2 linked regions of the Ovis aries genome follow. The protein of the gene in region 1 binds, or shares a complex with, the protein of each later gene. Links are inferred from orthologs where the notes say so. Each region holds a gene or a part of one and is shown in the gene's direction. Other genes may lie near its edges. The genes, in order: ACVR2B and GDF2.

Region 1 (3,809 bases):
CGCCATGGGGCTGGTGCTCTGGGAGCTCGTGTCCCGCTGCAAAGCTGCCGACGGTGAGCAGGGCGGGAGCCCCGAGCATCCTGGGCGTGGTGGGGGAGAAGTCGGGCAGTCGGGTTACCTCCCCCCCCACCCCCGCCTTGGGACTCACTCTCTCCAGGACCTGTGGATGAGTACATGCTGCCTTTTGAGGAGGAGATCGGCCAGCACCCGTCACTGGAGGAGCTGCAGGAGGTTGTGGTGCATAAGAAGATGCGGCCGGCCATCAAGGATCACTGGCTGAAACACCCGGTGAGGGTCGGCGGGGGCTGCGGCGGCGGCTGTGGGCGTGGGGTGCTGACGGCCAGCAGGGGAGCTTCACCCACGGCAGGGCCAGAGGGGAGGGCTCAGGCCGCAGGCCCAGCCCCACCTCCCCCGGGTGCGTTGCCTCCCTTCCACCCGGGGAGCGTCTGTGCAGGTTAGTGCACTCCAAGGCAGCGGCTCTGGTTTTGACCCCAGAGAGTGATGGGACCTGAAATCCTGGATCTGTCCGTCGGTAGCTGGGTGACATCTGGCAGATTGCTTTATTTCTCTGAGCTCTTGTCTCCTCAGGGTAGTATTAGATTTAAGGAGTTGCTGTACCTCACTGGGCAGGACACCTATTACTTAAGTGTTTAATACGGCTTAGCTCGGATGAAGTAATCACTTTTCCCTGCCCTCATCAACTTTTTGGGCCTGGGCTGAGCTACGTGGCATCTGGGCCCCTCCAGTCTGCGGATATGTACAAAAGACCCCAGCTGTGGAAACCGTTAACATTTCTTGGAAGGATATTTGCCTTGAGCTCTATTGACTCCCTTCCCCCTGGCACCCTAGGGTTAATTCCGAAGGATATCACTGGGGGCTGGCGCTCTTCCCACATTGTCAGGGGTTGAGCTGTGGAGGTCAGGTTCTGCTGCCATGCTGCCTGCTCCCTGAAACCCAAGACTGCAGATGGAGAAAATATAGGCACCGGGAGAGGGAAGCTGGGCCTTGCTTCTGCCTTAGACGTTCAGTCTCTCAGGGCAGAGACGCTGCGGTCGCCAGTCCAGTTCCCTGACGTGGAACAGGCCCAGAGGGAGCTGAGTGTGGCCTAGTGCCAAGCAGGCTGGACCGTTCTGGGTACGGGTGGGCACTTTGCTCATCTTGCGGCCTTTCCCAGCTTCACGCAGTTGGTTCTAGCACAAGGTGTCAGGCCCTATTTCCTGGACTCTGGGGAGGTTCTGGGGGCCGTGGGGAAAAAGGTGGGATGAAGTCCCCCTCTGTCTCCACTGTAACTGCACATTGGGCCCCTGTGTGATTTGGACTTTGCCCAAGATCTTGTGGCAATGTCACCAGTCCAAGGCAGGCGGCCCTGTGGGCCCTGGATTCCCTTGTTGAGTATTGAGGTTCAGTGGCCCTTCCCTGGGGGCTGTGGAGGAGGCCGGTGGGCTCAGGACCCTGACTGCTGGCAGGGGAGCGTCCCCCAGAGCCCTGTGGACGGGCCTGTGGGCTCAGTCCTCGGGAACATGGCTGGTTTGCTTGTCCTCACTGAGGGCCACCAGCAGAGGCATGCGTTTCCTCTCTCCCGCTGGCGTGCAGGGCCTGGCCCAGCTCTGCGTGACAATCGAGGAGTGCTGGGACCACGACGCGGAGGCTCGCCTGTCCGCGGGCTGCGTGGAGGAGCGAGTGTCCCTGATTCGGAGGTCGGTCAACGGCACTACCTCGGACTGTCTCGTCTCCCTGGTGACCTCCGTCACCAACGTGGACCTGCCCCCGAAGGAGTCGAGCATCTAAGCCCAGGACACGAGTGGCTCTCCAGACTCAGTAGATCTGAAGAGGAAAGGAAAGAAAACAAAAAAAAGTTGTGTTTTGTTTTGGAAATCCCATAATACCAACAAACACATAAAATGCAGCTGCTATTTTACCTTGACTTTTTATTATTATTATAATTATTATAATTATTATTATTAATATTATTTTTTTGGATTGGATCAGTTTTTACCAGCACATTGCTCTACTGTATCGCAAACAGCGGACACGTCAGCAGGCGTTGCGGTGCTGAGCTGTGAATGAGGAACCAGCGCCATGCTGAAGAGCCTCGGCCACCTCCTGCCCCTCGGGGTCCATTTTCCCCCGCTTTCTCTTTGTTTGTTGTCTCAGAACCTGTGACACAAAGAAACCCATCCTGTCTTAGGAAACTTAATGCTGCAAACTCTACCTAGAGGAACCTTTGAAGACTGTTACATAAGAACACACCTTCCTCACACGAGGAGTTTCCCTCTGCCCTCGTCCCCCTCCCGCCTCACCTTTTACTGTGTTTTTATCCCTTTTTAGACAGTGAGTTTAAGAAACAGCAGGCGTGTCTTTTCACGGATGAACGGGTGTTGTCCTGACCGAGGAAAAACTGGGCTGAGGCTGAGGATGGTTTGGACTGGAGGGGAGGACGGAGCTGGGGGTGGGTTCTGGAGCAGAGCTACACTGGACTCGGGCACACTCGGAGCAACATCCTTTGCTATGAGACTACTTCTCAGGTAACCCGGAATCGAGGGGAAGGATCGCGTGGAGGCCGAGCATGAACAGCAAGAGCGGGGTTTGGAGAAAGTCTGAAATCAGGTGTGGCTCTGGCCCATCTGTGTGCCCTGTCCAGTTTTTCTTTTCACTCACTTGGGCTTGGGCATAAGACACAACATTTTTTTCTACCCTGATTTTAAGGTTCGGCAAGGGTAGAAATCATCACGGTTTAGTGAGTACAGTCTTGATGAGACGTTATACTGTAAATATCTGTAAGGGAGGAAAAGTTGAGCGTTTCCTCCTGGAGCAGTTCAGGGAAATGGCCACGTGGGGGCGCCCTGCGTAGCCGGGGCGAGAGGATTTCCTGGGTCCGGCCTGGCCAAGGCCTGTCTCTCTGGAGAGCCCCAGAGTCCTGCAGCGCTGGCTCTGTCTGCCCTGTGTGGTGACGTTACTGTCCCTTTATGTAGCTCGTGGACACAGCTTTCTCCAGACCCCCTCACAAGAGGTGCATATTCGAAAAAAACCGTTTCTCTGTTTTGCCATAACCTTGCTCTCGTCAGTGAATGTTCCTAATGCTGCTGTTTCAACCTTTGACTTTTTTTTTTTAATTTATGAAACATGCAAATTTTTTTTTTTTTTTCTTAAAAACACACACATCCACGCAAATGCTTTGCTATGTGGCTTCCGAGGTTTAAATTTTGAAAAGTAAAAGAATTAAAACTTCACGACCACAGACCACCTCAAACCAGAAATACCTCAGAATTTTCTACTTGTGTAAGGTTTATTATATATTTTATTAGTTGTGTTGTCTCGTAGTAAGTATATTTTAATGTAAGTTGGCTTTTATGACAAGAAAGTTTAAAAGAAATAGAGAAAAAGAAAAAAAGTTGTGAGTCTTCTTAGGGAGTGCTCCCGTTTTTCGTTGATAACGTCCCCTTGTAAATAATTGTCATCCACTGTGGGTTGGCTGTCGGGGCTGAGTCTGGGCATTCGTCACTCTTATTTGTGAAGGCATTTCCTTCCCATTGCTTTAGACCCTTTTATTTGAAAACTGGATCTCTTCACCTTGAGGGTAGGCGAGTTGGTGGGCGACGGGGAGAGGTTGACTAGGGTGAGGGGTGGGCGCCTCCTCCTGAGTTTTTTGGAGGTTCCGCTGTTTCCCTCGACTTGGGAGGTCATTGTTCAGAATGACAGGCGACCCCACTTTAACCTGGGAAATCTGTGGCCTTTAGACCCCCATGAGGTAATTTTACTTGAGACTTAATTTCTTCAGCAAGTCAGCGGGGGCGCGAGGGGAAGTGCCC
Region 2 (3,909 bases), on another chromosome or scaffold:
CCTGCTCCATTGCCTCCCAGATTACATGGTTCTCCTGACTGACAAGTGTGGCCCAGGCAACCACCCGGATGAATCAAGACCTCACCATCACCCCCAGACCACTGACAGAGCTGTACTTGGGTTCCAGGGCCAGGAGGCCTTGCTGTGTAAGTGATGTTTCTAGAGAGCAGGCCAGGCAGGTGCAGGGCCTCTGGGGATTCCTCCCAAGCTCCCATTCAGTCAGACCCAGGGTAGAGAAGCTGTAGCCAGAAAGCAACCACCCAGCCGACTGGGACTTGCGGTGACTGCCATGCTGGTCAGCACTTATTAGCTGAAGTCCTCACTGCCCTCTTCTGAAGTGGAGGGCCAGAAAGGTGAAACAGCTTGCTCCAGGTCATGCATGCAAGAACAGCTAAGAGAGCTGGGATTTGAACCCACATCCGGTCTGACTCCAAAGTCTCTACCGCCTCACTAAACTGTATGTGCCACCTTTACCCACGACCTCTAAGACTCAGGACTGCACTTGACAAATGGGAAATCGAGGCACCGAGTACTTGAGCCACAGGTGCACATCCAGTTCCACAGGAACCAGGCTTCTCACCAACCCGCCATCCCCACCCCAGCGGCCAGCCCAGGGGCCTCTGGGAGTTTTGTGCTGCTGTTTCCATATTTGGAGGACTTTTGGGTCTTATTTCTTTCCTGGATTCTTTGCTTCGGTGGCCCAGGAGATGGAGCATATGTCACCCTGCCTCAAGATTCTTCTGAGAGCTGGCAAGGAAATGAGAGAGGATCCATCCTAATTAGGGGGCGATAACCCCAAGGAGAAACTCGGATTCTCTGCAGCAGTCCGTGTCCTTCCCATTAGCCCTGTGTGTTTCTCAGATGTTTATAGAGCCTTCATTAACAGAGAGCCCCCTTAGATAAGAGGCCTGAACAGCATCAAGGGCCAGATAAGAACAAGTGGAGGGCACTTCGGGGACAGCAGAAGGGTGAGAGCCTGTGAACTGGCCCGGGTGCGCCGTACAGAGCTGTGGGCAGGACAATGCAGGCCGGCTCCTTCCGGGCTCCTCCCGGCACCCGCTAACACACCGCGGCCGCCGCAGTCTCCAGACCAGGGCGAGAGCCTCCCAAGATGGGCCGTGGGGCGCTCCGGATGGCTCTGCCTGTGCTCTCCCTGCTGGCCTGCTCCGCCCTAGGGAAGCCACTGGAGAACCGGGGGCGGCCGTCCACGGGGGGAGATGCCCACCGCCTGCTACGGGGGCCCGGCGGTGAGCAGGAGGGGGCCACCTTCGACCTGAGGATGTTCCTGGAGAACATGAAGGTGGATTTTCTGCGCAACCTCAACCTGAGTGGGGTCCCTTCTCAGGACAGAACCCGAGCCGAGCCACCACAGTACATGATCGATCTATACAACAGATACACCACCGACAAGACGTCCACCCCTGCGTCAAACATTGTGCGCAGCTTCAGCGTGGAAGGTAGAGTCGGCTCCGTGGGGCGCCCCGGGCGGGGGCGGGGGGACTCAGTGGTGGGTTCAAGGCCGCGCTGCCCGATATGGCGGCCACTTCAGACACGGGACTCTTCGTTTCAATTTAGGTTAATTTAAATGCAATAAAGTTAATAATTTAGTTAGTTTCAGTAGCTTGGGGGCAAGTGCTCAGCAATCATGCCTAGCTACCCTATAGGACATGGAGACTATAGAACAATTCCATCATTGCATAATGTTCTACTAGACATCTCTGCTCTAGAAAATTCTCCCTCTCTGGGCCCAGCACCACATTAACACAGTAGGTGCTGAAGGAATGCCTGCTCGCTTTCTTCCATCCCTTCCCTTCCCCTCCCTTCCCATCCTGTCTCCTTCCTACTTAGACACAGACAACTTACTTAGCCTCTGACTAACAGGCGTCTTTTTAAACACTGAAAGACTGCATTTCTCACTCATCAAAAGGTGTTTAAAATTCAGATAAATTCCTCTGAGAAACACTGGAAGACAAGGTAATTATTTTCTAAGTATAAAATAATTTCCCTGATTTAGTAGGACTAGAAGATAACGAATGTCGACTTAGGGCTTATGTCCTCTAATTCACGCCACGTAGGTGACATGATCTTGTGAGCAGTGAGCCAAGGCTTGCAGACCCTGAGGGAACTTTCCCGGTTCACATATTAGTTAAGCAGCTGGATTCTGACCCAGTCCCATCTGTTTGCACAGCTCAGGCTTTTTTCCGCAGTTGCAGCTTCTAACCAACCAGGCACACAGGACTTCTTCCCTCCTGAGCTTGAGGCCTGCAGACTCCTAGCCATATGCCCTAGCTCAAAGATGCTGTGGTCATGCTGCGTGCCTGGCAAAGCTGTATTTCCCAATGGCCCCTGTGCTGTGCTTAGCTGCTCACTCATGTCTGACTCTTTGTGACCCCATGGACTATAGCCTGCCAGACTCCTCTGTCCATGGGCTTTCTCCAGGCAAGAATACTAGAGTGGGTTCCCATGCCCTCCTCCTGAGGATCTTCCCAACCCAAGGATCAAACCCAGGACTCCTGCACTGCAGGCGAATTCTTTATCATCTGAGCCACCAGGAAGGCCCCTGATGGCCCCAAAAGAAAATGAAAGTCTAGATTTAATGTGGACCTGTCCTGTTTCTAAAAGATGGGTTTAATTTGTTTTAATGCAGTCTGCAGGTAATATAGATACTGGCAGCATCACACTACGCCCATGGGACATGTCTGTAACCCCTGCTTTAGGGAAAGGCTGAGCTTCTTTGGCTGGCCCTAATCACCAAATCCTGTAGTCTGGGAGTCCAGTGTTGGGAGCCATCTCCCAACAGCAGTGGGGTGACCCCGCCCTGCTCCCCTCCCCCCAGCATTGTCTGTGTCCCAGAAGCAGGTGTTCTGATCTGATCCCAGCTCTGCCTGTGGCCAGTGCTGCTGTGGAGGCAGTGATCATTATCACGAACAGCCTGAGTGGCTCGGGCAGAGAGAGCACTTGCTCTCTAGTTAGCTGAAGCGGCCCCTTGGCAATTTTCAAGGCGTGCCACAGAGCACAGCCAGCAGTGAATGCACTGCTCGTGGATCCCGCTCACTACTCGCGTATGACACGGCGGGTTTAACACACGGTACGGGAACGAGAACAGCTCGTCCAGGCTGGGGGAGGGCGCACAGAGAGCTGCGTGAAAGGCCATGTGCTGGGGGCGGTGGAGCAGGCGCAGTTTCTGGGGCAGACATAGAAGTACCTGATTGAGCACCTGCTGCGAACCAGGGACAGCGTTGGGGAGGCTTCATGAGCCTTCTTGTCAAAGCTTCACACCAGCCCTGGGGAGGTGGTAGGATGGAGCCCCATTCTACAGATGAGGAAACTAAGGCCCAGAGAGACTCAGGACTTCTCCCAGCTCATAAGCCTAGAAGAGAGAGAGTAAGGATTGGAATTTTAGACTGTTAGATGCTGCCAGGTTTCATGACAGCACATTCCCTACTCATGTTGGCACATAGGAGATGCTCAGGAAACACAACTTGTCTTCCCTCCTGTGACCAGGCCATGGTATAACAGGATGTGCTAATGGCTGGGAGTCAGCCAGGGAAGTGGGAAGAGAGACAGTTGTGTGGCTAGAAGGCAAGCTCCATATATGTCTAACATGGCCAAGCCATCGAGGTTAATCTATTTTTTCCTCACACATTGAAAAAAAATAAACACCACTTTCATTCTGCTCATAAGTTACCATTCTGAATGATTTCCTACGTGATTTAGGTGATATTTTTAACACTGTAGTAATAAAATTTCACCATCCCCTCCTAGGATCGCTCCTTTACTATTGTATGCTCAGGATTTGCACTCTGAGGCTGATAGTGTGCTTTGATGTTTTGTTTATTTGGTTCTTTTTCTAAGTGAGGATCTTTACAGGATGTGTGCACTTTGGCAGCTGCACACGCTAAATCCAAG

The links.
Region 2: the proteins of ACVR2B (region 1) and GDF2 are in contact, whole or in part, in a crystal structure (PDB 4FAO), measured with the Homo sapiens proteins. The link is inferred for Ovis aries from reciprocal best matches to the Homo sapiens genes ACVR2B and GDF2. Residues at the interface, in NP_001097.2 of Homo sapiens: Asn35, Glu39, Cys49, Glu50, Glu52, Lys55, Leu57, Tyr60, Ser62, Arg64, Val73, Lys74, Cys77, Trp78, Leu79, Asp81, Phe82, Asn83, Glu94, Gln98, Val99, Phe101; in NP_057288.1 of Homo sapiens: Arg333, Ile346, Ala347, Pro348, Lys349, Glu350, Tyr351, Glu352, Lys397, Ser399, Pro400, Ile401, Ser402, Val403, Leu404, Lys406, Gly410, Val411, Pro412, Thr413, Leu414, Tyr416, His417.

The regions. Positions count from the first base shown.
Region 1 is NC_056072.1:11,873,963-11,877,771, forward strand, and holds part of ACVR2B (activin receptor type-2B), read left to right. Parts: coding exon 1-53; intron 54-157; coding exon 158-288; intron 289-1,593; coding exon 1,594-1,788; 3' UTR 1,789-3,809. UniProt on the Homo sapiens protein: Transmembrane serine/threonine kinase activin type-2 receptor forming an activin receptor complex with activin type-1 serine/threonine kinase receptors (ACVR1, ACVR1B or ACVR1c).
Region 2 is NC_056078.1:41,261,685-41,265,593, reverse strand, and holds the start of GDF2 (growth/differentiation factor 2), read left to right. Parts: upstream 1-959; 5' UTR 960-1,111; coding exon 1,112-1,457; intron 1,458-3,909. UniProt on the Homo sapiens protein: Potent circulating inhibitor of angiogenesis. Signals through the type I activin receptor ACVRL1 but not other Alks. Signaling through SMAD1 in endothelial cells requires TGF-beta coreceptor endoglin/ENG.